Linked DNA regions of Rhinolophus ferrumequinum. The protein of the gene in region 1 interacts with the protein of each later gene in a biochemical or structural test. Links are inferred from orthologs where the notes say so. Each region holds a gene or a part of one and is shown in the gene's direction. Other genes may lie near its edges.

The links.
Region 2: the proteins of NUP214 (region 1) and ATP-dependent RNA helicase DDX19B are reported together in a solved structure, tested with the Homo sapiens proteins (2 studies listed by IntAct, with this or other methods). The link is inferred for Rhinolophus ferrumequinum from reciprocal best matches to the Homo sapiens genes NUP214 and DDX19B.
Region 3: the proteins of NUP214 (region 1) and NXF1 form a complex in vitro, tested with the Homo sapiens proteins (4 studies listed by BioGRID and IntAct). The link is inferred for Rhinolophus ferrumequinum from reciprocal best matches to the Homo sapiens genes NUP214 and NXF1.

Annotation. Positions count from the first base shown.
Region 1 is NC_046295.1:79,177,665-79,185,144, forward strand, and holds the start of NUP214 (nuclear pore complex protein Nup214), read left to right. Parts: upstream 1-4,396; 5' UTR 4,397-4,510; coding exon 4,511-4,555; intron 4,556-6,785; coding exon 6,786-6,981; intron 6,982-7,480. Other genes in the region: AIF1L (allograft inflammatory factor 1-like), read left to right, coding at 460-547. UniProt on the Homo sapiens protein: Part of the nuclear pore complex. Has a critical role in nucleocytoplasmic transport.
Region 2 is NC_046298.1:22,020,833-22,028,710, reverse strand, and holds the start of ATP-dependent RNA helicase DDX19B, read left to right. Parts: upstream 1-4,817; 5' UTR 4,818-4,962; coding exon 4,963-5,019; intron 5,020-7,878. UniProt on the Homo sapiens protein: ATP-dependent RNA helicase involved in mRNA export from the nucleus.
Region 3 is NC_046294.1:8,033,948-8,041,530, forward strand, and holds the start of NXF1 (nuclear RNA export factor 1), read left to right. Parts: upstream 1-4,518; 5' UTR 4,519-4,885; coding exon 4,886-4,913; intron 4,914-6,414; coding exon 6,415-6,598; intron 6,599-6,814; coding exon 6,815-6,968; intron 6,969-7,533; coding exon 7,534-7,583. Other genes in the region: STX5 (syntaxin-5), read left to right, coding at 2,604-2,763.

The DNA of each region.
Region 1 (7,480 bases):
ACTCCAATCCAGGCTGTTTCCCTCCAGAGGCTGCACCATAAACCCCTGTGCCCTACACCCCCCGACTTGACCCTCGGAGCAGTGGGAGGTTTTGAAGCTCCAAAGGGGTTGTGAGCAGAGCCGTGGCCCAGCCTAGCTCTGCCTCCTCCAGGCAGCGTGGTTAGGGGAAGGTGCATGGCCTGGAAGTCAGAGATCTAGGCTCTCATCCTGCTTGGACTGCTTGTGGCTCTGAGGAGTCATGTCGCCACTTTGCGCCATTTTCTCCTCTGTCAAATGGGACTAGGAGTCCCTTCCATGCAGCTGCCATCCTAGGCTTCCGAGAAGATCCTGCTGGAGAATGGATGAAGGGCATTCTGCTGAGGACTTTGCGGACGTGAGGGCTGGGTGAGCTTTCCCTGGGTGAGGGGAGGAATCCTAATCTTGTTTCGTTTTGTGTTTTTTTTTCCATCTCTAAACCAGAGTCATGATGTTTGAAGGAAAGGCCACCGAGAGCAGTCCCAAGCCAGTCGGTCCCCCTCCAGAGAGAGACATTGCCAGCCTGCCCTGAGGACCCCGCGGGGACCTGTCCCTGCCCTCCCTGCCCCACCCCTCCCTCCTGATCTTGCTGCACTTCTGGACTCATTGCAATGTCTTTTTTTTTTTCCTGGTTGTTGGGCATGATTGTTTTTTCATCTGCAGAATCTGATCTCTTTGTAAAGCACAAATGATCTGCCTTAAAGGGGCTCTGGGGCCCCTCCCTCTCTTCTTCCCTCCTTCCCCACTCCCTGTGCAGAAGGGCTGACATCAAACCAAAAACCGGAAGTGGCGGGGCCAGGGCAGGGAAGCTGGAAGCCTGTGATCCCCACACTTGGAGCCGGCATTGTCCATCCTTGCTGGAGGTCACTGAGCTAAGTCCAGGCTCGCTGGCCTGGCTCTGGTGAGGACCTCAGCCCACTTTCAGAAGACCCTGGAGTAGGGACGAGGCTGCAGGGCCTCACTAGGGTTTCCTCAGATGCTCTGAAGTTCCGGTGCTCTCAGGTTGTCCAGGACGTGGCCACTCACTGCCCCAGCTGATCCCCGCTCGGGCCACACTTCTTCTCGCCCTTAATGAGGTGCAGAAGGAGACAAGGAGAGGGGCTTGGTAATTGGAGACCCTCAAGAAGGTTCTGGAAGGAATCTTCTGGCCTTACCCCTTGTCCACACCTTCATAGACAGCTCAGAGGGAGCCCTGTCCCTTGCTGGGGCAGCAGAGGGCTTCAGAGGTAGAGGGGAGGCCAGGGGCCTTGGGGAGCGGGGTTCAGCTCAGTCTAGTCCCACCTTTTAGGAGGATGCTGAGGGCAACAGGCTAGGGGAATGAGGAATAAAATGTTCACGGCAAAAAGTCAGCACCACTGTTAAGCCAAGAACTGAGACACAGGAGGTTGCCTTTCTGATCCCAGTCTGCTTGAAAACCGACTGCTTCCCCCACGACCTGCCCAACTTACTCAGACCATTCATTTACTCAGTCATTCAACAGATATTTATTGACCATCTATTATAAGCTTTAAGGCCGGCCCCCTCCACTTTGTCCTGACATGTGCTGTGTCCACTGTCTCTAACTCATTTCCCCATTTCCAAATCGCCCAAAACCCTTGAGCATGGGGATTCCATTGGGGTCACCTGTGTCCCTTATTATGGACTCACAGGGTCTTAGAGGTCTGATCCCCCTGTAGGTTAGCTGGGCCAGTCCTCACATTTCACAGGTAAGGAAACTGTGGTGGCCCCCAGGGATTAAGTGCCTGGCCCAAGGTTAGGAGTTAATCGAGATGGAAGAGTCTGGACTGAAGCCCAGGTGTTCAGATGGCCTGCCCGTGCATCACCTCTGCTCGGGGCTGCTTCCGTCAGTGAGGAAAACAAGGGAAGGGGCAGGGCGAGGCTATTTCCTAGGACAGCACTTGGGGCGGGGCCTGGGCCAGGACTCACCTTTTCCAGTGCCTCTGAGTTAGCAGCAGGATCAGGGGACAGGCCAGGCCTGCCTCTGCGGTTCCGCCTTCCCCAGGGCTTCTGAGCTAAGCCACTTCTCAGAACTCACGCAGGAAGCTGTCACACTCGGCCCCATCTTGGCTGAGCAGGGACCCCAGCCTTGACCGCACCTGTGTTCTGGAGCCCCTTACCCTGCCTGCTCAGGACTTAGAAGCAATCATCAGTTGGACATATTTGTTAAGCACCTGCTATGGGCCGAGAGCTAAGAACCCAGTCATGAAATAGACAGTTACGTGAAATTTAAGAGCCTAGTGAGGAAGTCAGACTCGGACAAGGACGAGTTAGATGAAAGGAAAGGGGGGCCATGGGGTGACTGCACTGCAATCCTGGGGAGACCAAGATGGGCTCAAGACTGAGCAAGAGCCTTGCAAAAGCATTTGCCAAACCTTAAGTGGAAATGTCTGGGTACTGTTAGAGCCACGGTGGGCTCTCTGTGGCTCCTCAGTGACCCACAATCAAAGACCCAAGGAGCTGCCTTACAGCAGCTTAAGGGAGTGGAGCAGGTCGGGGATGGGGTAAGGGCCAGGCTGGGATAATTTGCTGGTCTCAACCAGTTCAGGAGCAAGACTACCTGGCCGTGGCTGGTTGGTCCTTAGGCTAAGGAGCTGCTCAAATGCACAGGCCTAGTTGAAGTTTAAACCCCAGCAAAACAGTTTTCCCTGTAAATGTAAAATCTCACCCCACCCCCTTCCCTGCCTTGGTTTTTTTCCACCCGAGATCATTATTTGAGCAACTGCCTGTCCCCACCCCTTCCCACTACGTCTCCTCTCTAGGACACGACGAGACCTTTGAGCAAGGTCAAGTCTTGACTCCCCGTCACATCGTCAGTGTACTTGGTCCTCACTCAGAGAGGAGGGCACAACCAACCAGGCTTATTTTCCACAGGTTCCCCAGTTTACAAGGCCATGGGAAGCCTTAAGGGGGAGCGAGTGGGTGTGTCCCCAGCTTCTGGAAAGAGCAGGACAGAGCGTTCATTGGATAGGAGTATCCTGGGACACCACACAAGTTCCTTTGCCATTTCTTGGAACTCAGCTGGTGGAGGGAGAGGGGCTTGAGTGGTTTCTGGAAAGGGGGGGGCGCTGCATATATTTCAGGTTGTGGCTGTTGGCCCTGGGACTCTTACTTCTCTGGCTAAGGGCTCATTTTCTTAGAATTTCAGCTATCTCTCTGAAAGACCAAATCTAACTAATGTAACCAGAAACTTGGGGATTGCCAAGTGTGGCTTTGTCCCTGCAACTCAAAAGGAAGGAGTGTGTGGGGCAAGTTCAAGTGGATGCAGTATGTGTGCGCGTGCGTATGAGAGTGTGTGGTGCCAGATACCATCTCTGCACACTGGGAATAAAACAGACAAACTGTCAATGTCTTGATTGGTGTATTTGGGGGAGGGGTTCTGGGACTCAGCAAATTCAGGAAAGCTACCTGATAAAGTACCATTGAACGAATGCGTCCTGTGTAGCAGGCTCTGTTAAGCTCTAACTTCATTTACTTCTCACGACCACCCCACGAGACAGGTTGTTTGTCATCCTCGTTTTACAAATGAGAAGCAGCCTTGAAGCAGATGCGCAATTTGCTGAAAACCAAACAGTCCGTGGCAGACTATGGCCCCTACTTCAAGTTAAGCACCTCTGTCCTAGAGCATTTAAGATATAAATCCACTGCAGCAATGCGTACATAACAGTCATCAGTGAGCACCCAGACAAGCTGAATTCTAATCCAGCCTCCACCGCTTTGCGACCACGGGGCGCGGGGTGGTTTTCTTACGTTCCCTGCTGCTTCGTCCCCTCGTCAGTTAAACGGCAGTAATAACTCCTGGGGGACCAGGACGTCTTCAAGAGTAAAGAACACATCCAAAGTGTGTTGCGCTTTCCAGGCTCTTGCTTCGGAAATGATTACCTTGACAGGAATAAACAAAGACGACCTCTGGTGCCTTTTAACCTCCCCTTTTTCAGCGTTCGTGCTTAGACGCAGAAGTCTCCCGTGGCGAGGCCCCAACCCACGCACTTTCTGAACCCCTTTTCCTCCACAACCCCCTCCAAAGCCTCTCTCAAGAGCTTCCCCTGGAAATATTTATCAAGTCCCAACTTCTCTGAATCAAGAACTATTAATCGCCACCTCCATCCCAAGGTTACTGTGGGGTCTCCACGGAACACTGAGCGTGGAGCGCTCAAGCATGCGCAGTCCGATGGAAAAAAACCCAACACCAAGCAAACTCGTTCTGGTTGCGGACGCGGGGGGCGGGGCCTGGACGCTCCAGGGCGCAGGCGCGCGGGCCGAGCCGGCCAATGGGAGGCGGCGGCCTCGGGAGCGCGCGACTTCATATACTCCCTCAGCCTCCTCGACCCGCAACGCCCACCGAAATGCGTGACGCCATTTACGCGCGCCGGAAGTTCGGGCCTCGCTGCGCGCCGCTAGCGCTGAAGGAAGGAAGTTGGCGTTGGAGCGGCCTGGGCTGTGTGGGCAAGGCCGCGGGCAGCTGCGGCTGCTGCTACGACCAGCTGAGTCCGGCGCGATGGGAGACGAGATGGATGCCATGATCCCCGAGCGGGAGATGAAGGTCAGATACTGGCCGGGGCCTTCGCGTTGCCTTGGAGCCCCGCTGAACGGCGAAGCGCGGGTGCCGGCTGCCCCGCCTCCCGCTTGAACTTTCCCGGCGTTCAGAGTTCTCACCTACGCGTCCTGGAGCACTCTGCGGTGCCGCCGGCGTGTTCGCCCCGCCGAGTGCAGTGTCCCCTTCCCTGGGTGGTCTTGTGCGCTCCACCTCAGTTTCTCTAGCTACTTTAATATGGTGGTCGGAGTAGCGGTAATAATTGCTGTTTATTGAGCGTTTACTGTGAGCCAGGCACTGGGGTAATCACACAGCAACCCTACGAAATAGTTAATATAAAGATGCAAGTCAAGGTTCGGAAGGTAACTTACCCAAAATCGCATTTGACGAGGAGGCTGTAATGCAGGTGTGTTTTGTAAGACCCTCTCTTCACTCTCATTGTCTTACTTCTGTAAGGTTCTCCGGGCTTGTCTGATGCAGAGCCGGGGTTCATCACCTATCCTACAAAATCTAGTTCGTTAGAATAGGAGGACTGTTCTGGTACTGGAAGTCTGCTTGAAGTCGGGAAACTAAGGAGAGGGGCACGTGATCCCAATGATGTGATGGTTACAAGCACCTGAAAGGGAGTAAGTTGCGGAAGATGTTAGGCATTCGAACAGCAAATCACTGAAATACGTTTAGAGAGTAGTGACTCTCTCTTCCTTCTTGAGAATCACTGCCTGAGTGAACCACCCAATGAGAAGGTGCCGTATTCCTCAGACACGCTGGGGCTGAAGGAAAAAAGGTTTTAGAACCACAGACTTAGAAGATGGTAGTGTCCCTTTAAGTTGCTGATTACAACAGAAAGGAGAGCACTCTGGTGCCTTTTCATCTCACTGGCCCTCCACCCCATGTGACCAAGACCCAAATAGGATATTTGGGATTATCAGGATGAGAGTCACAAAAACAGACCGAAAAATTTTATTTTACTTCTGTTTGAAACCATAGATAGTATGGTTTCACCTGGAAAACTATGTGTGTGTTTTTGATCATCGTGCTCAGTTGGAATTAAGAGTATTTCAGTTAATCTTTTAGCAAATGTGCATTAAACATCGAATCCATTGGAAATTTGTATGGGGTGTGTTAGGGATCCTGTATGAAACACCGTAAGTGTACAAAAGTGAAAGCTGATAATGGCTCTCTTTCGCTTTTACAGTTTTGGAATGTAAGCAAAAGGGGATTTGCAGTCTTTTCACCCAAACCTCAACTTAAGGATAGGTATATAATTGAAGAAAAAAAATTCAACCACATATAGCACACCTTAACATAGTGATTTGGTAAACTTACGGAACTCTTTTTTTACCAAGAGGTTCTGCGCGCTGAAAATTGTCTTTGGAAGCATGTAGATAAATTCATGGAAGACTACGCGAGTCGGGCATTGACAGGAGGTTGGGGAATGTTCCCAGGCCCTGAGTTACTAAGGAGCCTGAAAATGGAAGGAAATGAAAACTGGATAGACATGGGGCCGGGAGGTGGCAGTGGATGTGGCAGAGGTGATGTCGCACGCACTTGCAGAAGGGAAGCAGTGTTGTAAGGTGAGGCTCCAGAGGCGGATGGGTCAAGTCGGCCTTACAGCCTGTGTTAAGGATTTTGCACCTGTGTGTAAATGTCCTCATGGCATCCAGGTGTGTTTTCAGGTCTTGAACACCAAGAGATTGACCATGCATATCCTTTTTGTGTTTAACATTTGATGCAGGTAGGTCATTTCTTGGGATTCGGTTATCTTTCTGTGGTCATTGTTTACACACACACACACACACATTTGTTGAGTACTGCAGTAGAAGTTTGAGCCTACAGTGTAGTTGGATGATGCTTTGAATATTTAACAGCTTTTAAAGCACTACTCGGTCATGAGACAATACATACCATGAACTAAGACAAGGTAGTAAATAACAAAGTGCAGCTTGGATGGTGGTTAAGACAATAAACTAGGAATTCAGAAAAGGACAAGGTCACCGTGAGTTGAATTAGTCAAGGATAGAATCTTTAGAAATTTATTCCATTGAATAAATATTAATAAGCGCTATGCCACGTACCACAATACGCATGGGCAGCTTATAAATGGCTTGGTCATACAGTCCTTGGTCTCGGGAATAGGTGTTTTGGTTGTACTGGAATTGGATCTACTGTAATATGATGACAGACATGATTTAACTTCCTGTTTTCCCTGAACTGATCTTGTTTTGATCCCTCACAACAGGATTTTCAGTTTAGAGCACTGAAAAAAGTGAGAATCTTTGACTCCCCTGAGGAGTTGCCCAAGGAGCGCTGCAGTCTGCTTGCCCTGTCCAACAAGTATGGCCTGGTCTTCGCTGGAGGAGCCAGTGGGTTGCAAGTTTTTACTACTAAAAATCTTCTTATTCAAAATAAACCTGGAGACGATCCCAATAAGATAGGTAAGTTACTTGCTTTATGTTGCATAGTAGAGAGAGGAGTATAATGAAGTGCTAACGTAGTTTCCTTCCCGAGAAATCATTCTAATATTAAAGTTAAAACTGCTGCCAGTCCTGAGGTTGACCCCCAAGAAGAGTAAGTTCTAGGTCGGAGGCTGGAAGCCTGTCTGGTTGTTCTCTTTAGTCCTTTGTATTTCTCTTTCAATGAGTTGTTCCTCTGACCTCAGAGGGAAGGAGAATGGACCATTCTGCCATGTATTTATTTTTGCTCAGTTGAACTTGGGTTCCCTGGCTCTCTAAGGGAAGGGTTTTGGGGCACGGCCTTTTCGTTGGCTCAACACTACCATCTAAACAAATAGGAACGTGTATTATTGGGAGCATTGTTGCCAAAATATGGGTGCATGTTGGCAATATTGTGATTTACAAGAAACACATATTTGGTCTTCATCCTCCATTTCTGGGTTACAGGTCCCAGAGCTCTTGGACTTTCCTAAGTGTTGTG
Region 2 (7,878 bases), on another chromosome or scaffold:
CACAGAAATTTATGGGATTACGTCTCTCAGGAAAAATAAGGCAGGCAGTTAGAGACGGGTAATTGGGTCTCTGCATTCCTGCACATCAAACATAATCTATGGGGAGGACAGGCTGGAGACCTCCTGAATTTTTTTCTTATCTGCTCTAGCCATTAGCCACTGTGAGGACATAACTAAATTGGACCAGTCGCTCACACCTGCATGGTAGAAGGCCACCACCTCCATCTCACCCTACCCTCATTATACCATCATTGTAATACCACACATATGCCCAGTAGTTCATTAATATCATTATAACAGACTGAACTCTAGGAAGGGACATGCACAGTCTAAGAAGATGAGGTAATGGCTCCTTATCAATCACAGGTGTCAATCAAGTGGCCCCACACCTGGAGAGGAACAACCCATCCTGGAGGAAAAAAAGACAAAACCTCTAGTCTCCTGTGAGCCACCACCCTTGAGCCCTTTGAGCCTTTTGAGCAGCTTCTTTTGCTCGGGACCTGCTCCAAACCCTTTGGAGTGTACTTTTGCTTCTAACAATGGGCTTTGAGCCGCTTTTCTTTGTGCTCAGCCCACTCCTAATTCTTTGGAGTGTACTATCTCTTCTAATAAACTTATTTCACCACTTTACGTCTGTGTCTCGTTCAATTCTTTGCTTCAGATGCCAAGAACCTGGACACCATGCCGAGGAGGACCCATCCTCTGGTAACGTAGCAGCTAGGATTCCCAGTTTTCCTCCCCGAGGCCCGGGTTTGACCCTCGGTGTGAGAGACAAGCCCGGACACTGCCAGGTTCGACCCCCAGTGTGGAAACCAAGCCCAAGCATCTCACCGAGAAGGGCCCCCTCTCCGGTAACAACTCCAAACCTCATACTCTTACCCATTCCACTATTACCTACATCATCTTACATGTCCAAAACACATGGGTATAAAATTGAGCTACTGGTCATAACAGGGTTAAAAATATTGCAGAAAAATATTGACTTTCCTTATGTAAAATATAATAGCATCCTACTTAAATAGAAAATCAAGCTTAAAAGCCAATGAGAAATAAATCACCTGAATTAACTTCCCAATTCACAGCAACGCATTAATAATTATCATTACACCTAACATTTGTTGAGCACTTCATATGCAGCAGGCACTGATCTTAGCTTTTGATCCTCATAACAACCTTATAATGAGTTACTGTTATTATTGTTTTTAACACTGAGGAAACTGAGGCAGTAAGGTTAAGACAGCTAAAGGCAAAAACCAAGAGAGACAAGTGTTTGTTCTGATCCAAATGGGCCCAAAAATGTTAGGCATATTTAGCCTAAACAATCTGAGAAATGGGTCAGATTTATGTGCCACCACAATTAAAATGGAAAGCCAAAATTGTACAAATTGTGATTTCAAAGTAAAAGAAAAGAATATAGATTGTAGTCTCAATAATTTTGCTGTGTTGCCAGAGTTGTTGCTGTTAGGATAGCACCTTCACTAATGAAAGAATTTGAGACAAATTAAAAATAACTGTTTTTTTCATTCACCCAGTGGCATACGAGGAAAAACTGTAATTGAGGCCCCAAAGTCACATTCTTCCAAACATGAATTTTCTACAGGAATTTTTCAGATAATTATCCAGTTCTCCATGATATTTTTCTCTCATAGATAATGTCAACTATGTAATAGAAAGCTATCTTTTTTTTTCTGGTTTATACTTAATTTTTTTAAATTAAAGTTTATTGGGGTGACAATTGTTAGTAAAGTTACATAGATTTCAGGTGTACAATTCTGTATTACATCATCTATAAATCACATTTTGTGTGCACCACCTAGAGTCAGTTCTCCTTGTATCACCATATATTTGATAATCGAAAGCTATCTTAACGCATCATGCAAATTGCATACTTTAGGAAACTTATTATTCTGGACTAAGCAATAGGCCTGTTGGTAAGAGTGATTGCTATACATATGGCTTGCTTGGCAATAGAACATTGGTAGAACCTCACCTTGGGGCATGAGCAAGATAACAGGGGTTCAAGATGGTACAATTAAAATACTTAGTTTTGGAAAGATGTAGTCCTAGTTCTAACTCTCCCGTGGCACCTAAGCTACTTTTAGCATCTATAAAATGGACTTAGAATGTTCATTTATTTGCTATCAGATCAAGTGGGGTTGGCCGAATAATTGTTTTCAGATCATAAGGTGCTATAGGAATTAGCTGGGATCTTAAAATAGAGATCCTGATTTAGTAGGTCTGAAGTGGGGCCTGAGATTCTACATTTGTAATAGGCTCCCAAGATATGTTATCTATGCTGCTGGGGGATCACACTTGGAGTAGCAAGGGCCGAAACTGGAGCATGAAGTTTTTCATCTGTTTGTTCAAAGACAAAGATTAAAAGGTTTGATGGGGGAGGGGGTGCGGAGGGGTTCGTTCCCCATCTATTTATTCATCAAATGAGTGTCTGTTATGCGTTAGTCCCTGAAGATAAGCATTAAAGAAAGCAGACACTACCCTGCCCTCATGGAGTTCCCAGCCTAACCAGTGAGAGCTACATTTAGTGAAAAATGACAGAACTCACCCAAAGGCACCCCCCTGCTGGAGCCTAGAATTGTCCATTTGCCCCAAGGTACCTGGGTGCGTTGATTGGCTGGCGGGACTGGCTTCCAGGCTTCAGCCAATGAGGCTCGGGCGGCTGTTAGTGGAGGTAACTGCCATGCAGTAGGGCGATGGCTGGGGTTGCTGGCCACGTCCGCGATCGTGCCCCGGAGCGCTTTCCGTTTGCCCTACCGGTGGGAGACGTGAGTATTCTTAGAGGGTAGACATGAGACCTTTTTTTCTACATTTAGTTATCGTCCTTGCCCCCACCCCATTAACTGTTAATAATAACAGCTAATATGTATTGAGTCTTCTCTATAGACTGCGCACTGTACCAACGGCCTTAACCTTGTGATCTCATTGAATCCTCGAACTGTGAGACAGGTACTTAGCGTGATTTCAGAGGAGGTGGAGGTGGCCTAAAGTCATGTGGGAATACATGCTGGAGGCCTACTTGATATCCAAGATGCTCTTATTCCTGAGTCCTCTTTCCGCACTCCACTTTGGAGACCAGATTCCTCCTTAACAGGAGTTTCACATTGTGCAGGTGTGGGGTGGCATAGGAGGGTCTAGAATCCTGATGCTTATTTTTAAGCTTTTTTTTTAAATAGAAAAAGCAACACATGCTAAAGGCATTTATGGAAAGGAGAGCTGCTGTCTCTTGGGATAGCTATGCAGGCAACTTCATTTGAGTCTTATTTTATTTCTTAAACCCTGAGGGGAGAACCTAGATGTTTGTTATATTATCACCTTTCTTATTTGTCTGAAATACTCACATGCACATGGAAAATAAATTTCAGAGTATAAAGTGTACACAACAAAAAGGAAGTCTCTCCCACCCCAGATTTTCTGAAGCCCCTCACTAGAAGCAGCAGCCACTGTTATCAGTTTTGTGTGTATCTTAAACATTTTGTATAGTAGGTACATATACGTGACTTTGTTTTGTTTTGTTTTTGCACAAGTGGATTCTATTATATACATTCTAGCACCTTGGCTTATTTATTTTTTAACCTCATTAAACTTGAAAAACATCCATTAATTTCCTTTAGCCCTGTGATCAGTATAATTTCTCTGGAAAAATATTCCCAGGGTTGCTTCTGACATGATGAGATGTAGGTCACGGCTTCCCCAGCTGGCATTTTCCTTTTTCTTTTTGCAAAATCCTTACCTATATAGGTTCCAAATAAATCTTCCCTAAATTAACCCCTAGAGGGTGCAGGAGAATAAGAATCATGGCAAGTAAAGGATTGAGGGGAGCTGCTTTATCCTTTCCCAAACATTTTGACTAATAATCTCCAGGTAAAATTCCACATAGAGCTCACTACTGCTTGAAATGAATTTATCACAGTGGAATATTGGCAAAGTGAGATATGTGGGGATTAATTTTTCAAGTTGCATGAAAATGCACAGCTTCTTTCTAGTGAAATAACAAAAGGAGAGAAGCTTGTATGATTAATGTTAGAGAAAAGCATCTGTCATACTTAATCCCATTTTCACCTCTTCTAAAAAGCATAAGGTATTTTTGCCTTTTTAAAAACCTTCCCAGTCACACAACCCTTACACGGGAGAGCTGGGATTCTGATCTAGGCACAGTTAACTTCAAAAGTCATGCCGATTGGGAGGCGTTCCCTGGAGTGAACTCTTCCGCTCATTAAGCCTCATTCACCTACCAACTTCTTCATCCCTGGCTCTTGTCATTTCCCTATAGAAATTCAGTTGTCTGTTCAGCTCCACAAACATCCCTGCTCTTTCTTGTCTCTGATCCTCTACCTGGAACACATTTCCCTAGTACCTTCCTGGAGTATTTCTCAAGGTGAAATTCCTTTAAGTCGTGTGGCCACGTACTCTGTGGGACAAATTTTTAACCAGTGTCTGAGAGGGCTGACTTCCAACACCCTGGCCCACACCAGGACATTTGAAATCACCAACCTGAAAAGTGAGAAAAAAAGATCTCGTTTCAGTGTGCGTTGTGGTGACACCCGTAATGGTTTTGTGTTTCTGTGTATGCAATCTATGTGAGCTGCTTCTGTGCCACTGTGCTGGGCTCCGGGAATGGGGCTGTACAGCCCGTTCACTAGAGCTTAGGCCCTTTAAGATAACTACCTCAGCCTGCGGTTCTGGATGTTGGATAAAAAAGCGTGAGTTAGGCAGGGGTGAGGGTGGGGGTCAGAAGGCGACAGAAGCGACAGCCCCAAAAGGGTCAGGGCCCGCGCGGCCTCCGACGTCACTGCGGCGCGCCGTTTCCGGTCCCCAGCGCCGAAGCGTAGGACTTCCCCCTCGGTGGCGCCGAAGCCGGGCTTGCTGCGACCCCCGGGAGCCCACGATCGCGCCGTGCCAGCCAGCGAGTCGGCCAGCACCAGCGTCCCACCTGCGCCTGGGACCATGGCCACCGACTCGTGGGCCCTGGCGGTGGACGAGCAGGAAGCGGCGGCCGAGTCGGTGAGTTGGCTTCAGCTGTAAAAGGGTCAGAGCGCCAGTTTTGGCTGGGGATCAGATCTCTGGGAAAGGACGCTGCCTGGGCTGGTCAGGGCCGGGATGGGGTGCGGGAGGGGATGGAGCCTGGACCCTGAGCTGGCTTTGTTTACCCATCCGCTTCCCAAATTACGTAAGCGCGGTTAAGTGCTCCCACGGATAAAGAGCCCAGCCTGCCTGTCTTCCTGTAATCCCGATTGGTCGTAGGTTGATTGCACTCAACAACCTGGATTGTAATCCATTTTGTAGGTGTCAGTTTCCACCTCCCGATTCTGAGCTTCTTGGGTTTAGGGACCATGGGTTATACAGATCTGTGTGCTTCCTCAGCTTACTAAGTGATGATGAATGAACCACTCAGTAGGTCTGGCAGGCAGTAAATCCTCTCTTGATCTGCTTAACTTTGTTCTGGGCCTGACATCCAGTAAGCAAGATAAGGAGTTAAACGTTACTATCTAGAGTTAATTTCTCCCACGTAGGCATTCTCAGTTCTGATAGTGCTTTGAACTTCTGTTAGTACTTATTTCTGTGAATTCCTGGAGAACAAGGACTTTGTCTTATTTTCTATAACTGATAAAAAATAAGTGTTAGGCACGGCTGGAGGAATGAGTTTCTGGAGACCAAAATTGGTCTATCAGAATTTATTTGGCATGTTTGAGCTGCGGGAGGTCAGGCTAGAAAAGACCATAAACTCCCTGAGTGAAAAGGGGTATGGAGTTTTATAGGAGGGGGTAAACGAGGCTATTCCCCCTTCAATGCTTCAGGGGGGTTTCAGGGTACGACCAAGCCCTCAGGTTCCACATTCTAGCCCCCAAGCCTGCTGATCCTAAGCCCCTAGGAGACAAACACAAGCCAGCAGGTACAAAAGACAAAGCAAGACAGAAATGGCTTTTAGGATAAGCAGGTTTCTGCTCTTGGCCTAAACATGGCCTAACAATAAGTAATATGCACATAGTTCAGAGAGTCAAAACTTTTAAAAACTGGTTCCCACCAACACCACCAATTTTTTCCTTCCCAGAGACAACTGCTGTTTCTCTTGAAACTGATTTACAATATTGACCTCCTTGTTCCCTAAATAACATGCTTGTTTTGCTACTTCTTGAATTTGCAGCTCTAGGTATTTTTTGATTTTTGACTCCTTCCTCCATCCCACCACACAAGCACACCTTCCCATTCCTTATCTTTTCATTATATTTTAGTTACATCAGTATTTCAGGTTTATATTAGTAATTTATGAATATTTTCACTTTCCTGTAAAACTTTGTTTTTCCTTGGAATTTGTAATTGTCATGTGTGTTTGCTTTGTGTTCTCTGTACTTATCACCAAATTCAACCCCAAGCTCTTTGCTAATGAAACAGGGCCCGATTGGCACCGCCATAGTAAGGGCCTCTCCCGTCCTTGGCCTCACCTTTCCTTGTCCGACCTAAAGCTTACTAACAATAATAGATCAACCCCCTGTGGCTGGAGCTCAGAATGTCCCCTGTCCCACCCAGTTCCCTGTTTTAAATTACCCTGACCCTTAGGCTTATTGATCACAATCTCAATTGTCCAGCATTCTTTCCAGTCTAGTCCCATCATTGTTCTTGGGTTCCTGACTCTACCAGAGAATATCACTGTAGCCTCTGGAAGAACACCCAGATTTTCCTTTAAATACCCACACTGGACTGAGAATGTTAAGGTAGTTTTTGGAGGTGTTAACCCGCTTCCTTCTCAGACCACAGGTGCTCTGATAATAAACGCTTATTCTATGACCCAATTCCTCTGTCGGTCAGTTGGCTGAGCAGCGCAGGCAGCACGAGCCCCGGACTTGTTTGGCTTCCAGTTTTACTACTGTGTTTCCTAGAAAATAAGCCCTAGCATTATTTTTCAGGATGACATCCCCTGAACATAAGCCCTAATGCGTCTGTTGGAGCAAAAATTAGTATAAGACCTGGTCTTATTATCGGGGAAACACGGTAGTTGTCTATCTCAGGATGTGCAGACACAGCAAGTATTTTATCAATTTCACTTTTCCCAGGTCTTTTAGCCTGCTTCACATTGAACTAGTTCCCCCTATGTTCAAAGCACAATGATTTTGGGGGATGGAGGGGAACAGGGCAGATTTCCCTTTGCCTTCATTCTGGGGATTCTCTCCTCTTCTGTTGTATTGTATTCCCTCCTTTCTCTATCCCCTCTCTTCATCTTTCTTGATTTGGTGGAGCCATTCATCAGCTTTCTGGAGGTGTGTTGGAAGTAAACTTTTTTGTTGCATTTCCTAAAACATCTTATTTTGCCCTATCATTTGGTTAATAGTATGGCTGGGTGTAGAATTGTAGGTTGGAAGCTATTTTCCTGCCAAATTTTAAAGGCATTTTTCCATTGCCTTTTAGATTTCTGTATTTGATGTTGAGATGTCTGAGACCATTCTGATTCCTGTTGTGACCTGTTTTTCCCTTTCTAAGCTTGGAGAATTTTCTGTTTATTTCCAGTATTCAGAAAATTCATGATGATGTGTCTTGGTAAGGGTCTATTTTTATCCATTTTAATGGGCACTGAGTGGGTCCGTTTCAATCAGGCAAATTCTTGGCCTCTGTTATGGGAAATAGTCTTGAAAATTTCATTGTTGATTTTTTCCCCCATTGTTTTTTCTACATTCCCTGTTTCAAGAATTCTTATTAGTTGAATGTTGGATCTCATGGGCTGGCTCTCTAATTTTTTTAAGTCAAACTTATTGAGGTATAATATATAGCAAAATTTACCCCTGTTCTGTGAATTTTGACAAAGGTATCCAGTGGTGTAACCACCACCACAATGAGATTTTCTCAACTGCTTTATAACCTATTTCATGT
Region 3 (7,583 bases), on another chromosome or scaffold:
GAGAAAAGTAGCAACTGTCCAACACTATTCAGTACGCTGTCCATGTTCAAATTCTCCCAGCTGTTCTAAAAAATGCTTTTAGCTTTTTTCTTTCAGTTGAAGACCTGGGTAACATTCACACATTGCATTTGATTGTTATGTCTCTTTAATCTGCCTTTGTTTTGTTTTTCGTGACACAGGCTCCTTTTTTTTGGAAGAGGCCAGTGCCTCTTGTAGAAAGTCCTGCATTGTATTTGTCCAGGGTTTCGTTGTGATTCGATTTAGGTTAATATTTTTGGCTGGCTACATAGGTGATTGTTTCAGTTAGCACTTGATGAGGTTATCTCTTTTTTGGTTATGACAAGTTTGGTCACTTGTTTAAGGTGATGACCATTAGGCTGTCATCTGTGGAGTGATACTTTGAGTCCTGTGGGAATGTCCAGGGCCTCAGCCCCACGGTGATCCTTGCCTGACTCATTTGTGAGATTGAGTGATGGTAAAACGGTAATTTTCTGATCCTCCCAGTCCTTCTACATTTATTAGCTGGCATTGTTCCGGAAAGAACGAGCTTCCTTTAAAATTACTGTGGAATGATAGTAAAAGTCAATGTATTACAATCCATTACCATCATCATTCTTGATTACTACATCTGGAGCTACTTTAAGGCATTTTCTGTATCCTCTTGAACATAACCCAAGCATCTTGAAGTTTGGGGGAAACTGAAACTCAAAAATTAAAATCTCAGATCTCTTAATCACAGTCACATAATCTTTCCAGTTCTTGGGCTCACTGTCTTTGGTTCAAACTCCGTTTTTTTGTTGTTATTGTTCCCAACTTATACTCACCTTCTAGTCTTCTGGTTTTCCAGGCCTCTCACATCAGTGTCATCAATTATCCTTTCTGTTCAGCAAGACTCCAGCTTCTTGATGCTTGATTCTTTCCCTCTGGTTTTTCTTTCTCTCCATAAGACATTCTTTTGTCCTGTTCCCCATGTAAACTTTTCCTTTTAAGTTTTCTTCAGCCCTCTCTTTCCCAAGCCATTATTTTCAGCCCTATTCATTTCCATTTTCTAACTCCCTGCTACTTCTCAGTGTCCCACTGATTACTAATTTTTTTTTCACCACCAGTGTTCCCTTCTATTAGTTTCATTCGTGGACTCCCATTTAAAATCTTTTGTGTGTCAGATTGCATTTATTGTTTTTCCATTTTTGTTCAGCGGAGCCAATGTGAGCTTTATTGAGTATGACATGACAAATGCACCCACACTGAGAAATGTAATTATAGCCCCAAACTAGGAAACCTGGTACTTTAGTTAGCCTCTCTGACATACGAGGGAATCATGTATAATCTGGGCTTCCGTATTTGGACAGAGATTAGCTGGCAGTTTTCATGACCACCTTCCCAGGACCTGGGCCTTTCCTCTCATATTCCACCTAGATTGCAAGGCTCCATCAACTTTTCTATCCTCAACAGGTTGGAAAGGTCTCTAACTCCCAGGGACTCACTTTGCAAGGACCAGGGTTTGTATTTGGTTTTTAGGATTGCATATGCAGGTCGGCTGGGAAATGTTTCCTTTTCCTCAACAATCTCTCAAGAGATTACCCTTTCTCTGAGGACTTCTCTATACCCTGGAGAGACAGTTTCTCATAATATAGGGCTTTTCTTATCCCCTGACTGCCTGTTCGTGTCATTTTTTTCCTTCTTGTCTCACTCTGAACCAGGATTTCCTGACTATGATGGCCTGTGAACTTTTCTCCCTGTTACAAATGCAATACATATTTAAGAAAAGTCAATAAATACTGATGAACAAAACATTATAATAGCTAACATTTTGGGGGCTTTTAGTATGGGTTGGGCACTATATAGTTGTTAACTTAGGTAAGACTGACAACAACGAGAAAGGTAGGGTTTGTGTTATCCTCACTTTTCCTTCTTTTTCAGTTGAGGAAAATGAGATTTGAGGTTAAATGACTGGCTTAGGGTCATCAGCTAATAAGTTGTGGAGCTGATTTTCAAATCAGATCCAAGACTTGTTTGTATTACCCTTCCAGAGCTTTTTGTATACACAGATACACTGGGGGTGCCAAAAAAATGTACACATTTTAAGAGATGTTATCTACGTATTACTTTTGAAAGTTGATTTACGGTATCAATGTGCAATATGATGTTTGTTCAAAAGATGGCATTAGGGGAGGCCAGATAGCTCAGTTGGTTAGAGCATGGTGCTTTTAATAAAGTTGCCAGTTTGATTCCCACATGGGCCACTGTGAGCTGCACCCTCCACAACCAGATTGAAACAACTACTTGACTTGGAGCTGATGGGTCCTAGAAAAACAAACTTAAATACATAAAAATTAAAAACAAAAAAAAGGCGTTAATCAAATGAATGCTAGCATCATTTGTTGTATTACCATTTTAATATAATACAGTTTTTTCCTTTCTTAAAAAGTGTATACATTTTTTTGGCACCCTCTGTATATGCACAAAAATGGAATCATATTGTGTATAAACACTTTCTACTTCCACCTATTGTGACCATCTTTTCCTGTCAGTAAATATGCTTCAATAGCTTTCTTTTTAATCTAGTGACCTTCTGTTCCCTCTCTCCCCGGCCCTATCCCCAGGATCGATGAGAACGTGCTGGGAGCCCAGCTGGATGTTGAGGCCGCCCATTCGGAGATCCTCAAGTACTTCCAGTCGGTTACGTCCAACCGGTGGCTCATGATCAAGATCTTCCTCATCCTCATTGTCTTTTTCATCATCTTTGTGGTCTTCCTTGCCTGAACCCTCTCTGCTCTGAGGCACTCCGCGGGGGTTTGGAGCTCACCTGGGAGGGCAGGTGGCCACTGCTGCCCCTGAGCCTGTGCAAGGTGCTTGGAAGAAAGGCCCTGTTTTCCTGGAACTGCTAAGAATGGCCACTGCCCCTGATTCCCCACCCCTTGCCTCTGGCTACCCTGTCCTCCCCTCACCACCCTCAGGCCCACGAAACACACATGGTTCTGGATTTGGACTCTGCTGTGAAGTGGCTGGAAGGGAGCAGAGGCCAACTGGGCGGCCAGTGGGGGAAGTTGTCTCCACTAGGAGATTTTTATAAACCCTCCCCAGCCTCTCGCAGAGGAAACTTTGGCAGCAAGGGGAGATGATGCCCTTCCCCACATCCTGAGAGTGAGGAGAGGAAGTGAAACTGCCCCAGGGACCAACTTTCCCATCTGGGTTAGAATTTGACCTCTTTCTTCTTCCTCTCTTCACCATGTGAGGTGGGGGCCCTGAGCCCCTTGGCTGCCTGCACAACCCCAACTTTGGCTGCTGGTGACTCTCAATCTGCCAAATGAGCTGCAGCCAGTTTCTCCCAATTACAGCAAGACCGTCAGCCTCACTAGCCATGTTGTCATTTCTGGGTGGGAGCGTCGAAGGGCCAGGCAGCAACTGGAGTGAGCCCCCTGCCCTGTACCAGAACTTTTCAGGTTGGGCTGATGGCTGTGAGAGGCAAGGCTTTGGGCTCTGCACACGGCAGCCTCCGGGCAGGGGAGAACCAAGTGCAGCAGCACTTCATTAGCATGGCAGCTTCCCTTCAAAGGGGGACGCAGGATCCCAGAGTGGGTTCCCGACTGGTGGCAACTTCCAGGACCATCTCCAGCAGTATTTGGACCTGTTTCACCTGCATCCTCCAACCAGTTGGCCCCAATTTTCCCCTGAGCTGGATGAGGCAGGAGCTCTGTCTGCTGCCAGGAATGAAAAGTGAAGAATTTGTTCTCAGCTCCAGCTGAGGTTCTTGATCCCCTCCAAGCCCCTCACCAAGTCCAAGCCAGTCACAGGAGAATGAAGGTGAGACGTACCTGGAATACCCGCCCTCCAGGGAGGTCATTCGGAGATCACTGGATTCCTCCCACCTCACACACCCCAGAGGAAGCTCAAACTATAGACGACAATCACCATACACTCTGCTGGCCCTAGTACTTTGGGGGGTCTAGGAGAGCCCATGTCTTTCCTAGCCCTGGCATTTTAAATTTCTCCCCCCTCCTCAGCCTCTGTTCAGCTGGTGGCCCTGCTAGAATCTTTACTACCCAGTAGACACACCATGTGGGCCTAGGACAACACATCAGTTGTGGGTGGGGCTGTTTGTGAAGACAGTTGCTCCGTCAAAGCCTGACAAATGGCAGCCTTTCTCATTTGATTCCGCAACTCTTCGGGGGATGCATAGATCAGAAATTCATTTATTTCACAAATACTTGTTGAGTTCCTGCTATGTGCCAGGCATAGTACTGAGTCAGGTGCTGAAGGAAAAAAACCGTGAATTATTCAAAGTCTCTGCTGCTTGGAGCTTACGTTTAGTTTTCTATATCCTGATAATCCATTTTACAGGCGTTGAAAACGAAGCGTTGACCCGCAGCCCACAGAGGGCTGAACTGAGACAAATACGGGTTATATCCCGCTAGGGGTCTGGGAGCCTTCACTCCCGCTCGGAGGCCCAGGTCTCCCATTCCTGGGAAACCCTTCATGTGGCCCCTCTTCCCCGCTCCTCTCGGAGTCCTGGGCGTCAGGAGCCTGCCCTCTGCTCCAGCGCTAATCCTGGAGGTGCTGGCGTAGCCGCGGACGGAAGAAAGCGGGCGGCAGGGCGAACCAGCCCCAGCCTTTGGCTAGGCGAGCTCAGGTCTAGGGCGAGTCGGGCAGCGGCGGAGCCCCGCTGCGCGGCGCGGCCGTTCGCCCAGTGCGCACGCGCGGCCGTCTGCGCTCCTCCCCGGAGGCACCGCCCACTACCTGGGGACGTCGACGGCGCGCGGCGCTCTGGGCCAGATAAATGCGGCGCTGCCGGCCGTAGGGGCGCTTCGACCTGGATCACCTGGGCGTTCTGACGATTGGTGGCGTTGTGGCCCGCGCCTGAGCCCGCCCTGCTTTTCGCTGTGCCATGGCGGACGGGGGGAAGTCATACAACGGTCAGTGTTGTCCCCGGGGGTGGGAGCGGGGCGATCTGGGCCCCGGGTGGGCGGCGCTGGCCTAGGCCGCAGCCCTGGGGCTGGAGGCCGCGAGGGGCCCGCGTCCGCGGAGAACGGTGGAGGCGCGGGTCTGGGGCGAGGCAGCCCCGGGGGTCCCACCGGACTCGAAGGTGGGAGCCCGAGTTGTTGACTCCGGAATCCTGGCGTTGCGAGGAGCTGCGGCTCGGTGCGGGTGGTTCGGCGGTGGGGTGACGAGATTCCTTTGAACTTTGTGGGTGGTGGATCCCTGTCATTTCAGTTTGGCGGCCAGACTCTTTAATGTGAGTCAGTGCCCTTCTCCTGAGCTACCTGTGCCCTATTTTCTATCGCGTCCAGTCGGTTTTGTCCCCCTTCCCTGCGGTTTTGGCTTAATATTTTAGATCTACACACCATCTCGATGTTCTAGACCAAACACTATACTGGGTCCAGAGTAGTGGTTTGGAGCACATGACAGCCGAGATTTCAGTCTTGAGTTGGCTACATCAAGCTTGAGTGAGTTAAACGCTCAGGCCTCATTTTCTACTCCCTTAATGCAGGTAGAAACAGTACCTACCTCCTAAGTGTGTGTGTGTGTGTGTGTGTGTGTGAGAAAATGAGATCATTCATATCAAGTGCCTGGAGTATGGTAGTGCCTGGCACTGGAGAAAGTTCTCAGTGAATGTTAGCTGTGCTTTCTATTCATTTCTTCTTTTTTTCTAGGGTCATTTCTTGAAGTTCATTGTTTGCAGGGTGCTGCGCATTAGGCAGACCTTGTTTGAAGTCATCGATCTTTTTTTAAGAAACCATTCCTACACACCAGGATTCAGAGGGTCATATTCCTAGAGAGCAGTCGAGAACTCTTGGTTAAGCACCCTAGCTGCCATTAGAACCTGCATCTAGAATTTGTCTTCTGAGTTAAAAGACATTTCTGGCCAAGGAAACAAAGAACTCACTCCCAAAACTTCAGAGTTTGAGAACAAGACTTTAAAGAAGTCCTTAAATTGGTCACATTTGTAACATACACTGTATAGGCAAAACAAGCATCGTTTATTGAAAGCTGATGTAATAGTTGTGGTTGCTTGGTTTAAGGGGATGGGAGAGGTCACCATTCAAATACTGAGTAGGGTTAAGTAGGTTTGAGAGTCCGAGTGAAAGCAGATTTCATTCAGGTGACTTTTGAGGGGTCTGAGTTGTGCCCAGTTTCACTTTTGGGTCACTCACATTTCCACATTGTGTTTCTCCTCTCTGTACTTCCAGTTTCTGCTTCATTTTTCAAAAGCCCTGCATGGTTTCCCAGTGGTTTTTCCCTTTTTGGTGCCATCCCACACAGAGGGTTCTTTCTCTGGAAAGGCGGGGGAGTTTGCTTGGAGGTAGCCTCTGCAGTTAGTTTGTATCTCATCCAATAGTGCAGCGATACTGTAATTGGTGCCACAGCACAGCAGCTGGGCCAGTTTTCTAGTTTGTGTTCTGTTCCCAACTCCAGAGCATGATGATCGAGTTAATTTCCCTCAAAGAAGAAAGAAAGGTCGGGGTCCTTTCCGGTGGAAGTGTGGTGAGGGGAACCGTAGGTCTGCAAGAGGAGGTGCTAGCATTCGATCTTCCCACCTTGAAGAAGATGACAGAGATGTGGCGATGAGTGATGCCCAGGATGTTCCCCGAGTAAGATAGTGAGTAACCAGTGGATCTGGTTTGAATTTGTCGACTCTTTTACTTATATACTGTTACTGTTTGTGTCGTTTCTCTTCCTACCTACAAGAGTGAGGACTGCCAGGACCAGCTTAATGGTTGAACAGTCTTAGTTGTAGTTCTCATAACAGTGCAGCAAAGACTTTGAGAAGCCATTCCTAGTGTTTATGGACATTTTATTCTCTATTTCCACACAGCAACCCCTATGCTGCACGAACTAACCGTCGGGGCGATAATTGGCAGGATCGAGACCGCATTCATGTTACTGTGCGAAGAGACAGAGCTCCTCCACCGAGAGGAGGGGCTGGCACCAGCCAGGACGGGACCTCAAAAAAGTGGTTTAAGATTACAGTGAGTATCTTGGAAATAGATGGTGTAGGAGAGATGAGAGGCAGGGCTCAGAGTGAAGGTGTTTACCCTTCACACCACAAAATTAGTCTTCTGAGCTGTTTACTCCACAGTCAGGTATCCGTCCTTTGGCATAAGGATCAATGTCTTAGAACCTAAGGGCAGGTGCAGAAAAGGAATAGAAAGAATAGGCAGCACGGGGAGGAAGGCAAGGCCATCTAAAGGGAAACGTGATGACTGATTGGGAGGTGACATAACTCCTTTGGATGTCTCCATGTGGCTCAGACTGAGTCGTGGGGGTTGGGGCCCCTTGACTTCTGAGGGGCAGGCAAGGTAGAAATAATATCTTAGGACTTTTAGAATCAAACAATTTGATTCTTTTGATGAATAATAAGTATAAATAGACAAAAAGGAGGTTAAGGAATCCATGTCTGACTCCAGTAGTAAAGCTTTAACTGGTGTTTTCTTTAGAAAATCTTTTAAACCTTGGCAGACTATATGAAGCACTAGGTTGTATCTCCTTTTCAGCCTTAGTTTCATATTATTCCCGGCCCTTTCTCTCATGTAGATTCCTTATGGCAGAAAATATGACAAGTCATGGCTCCTGAATATGATTCA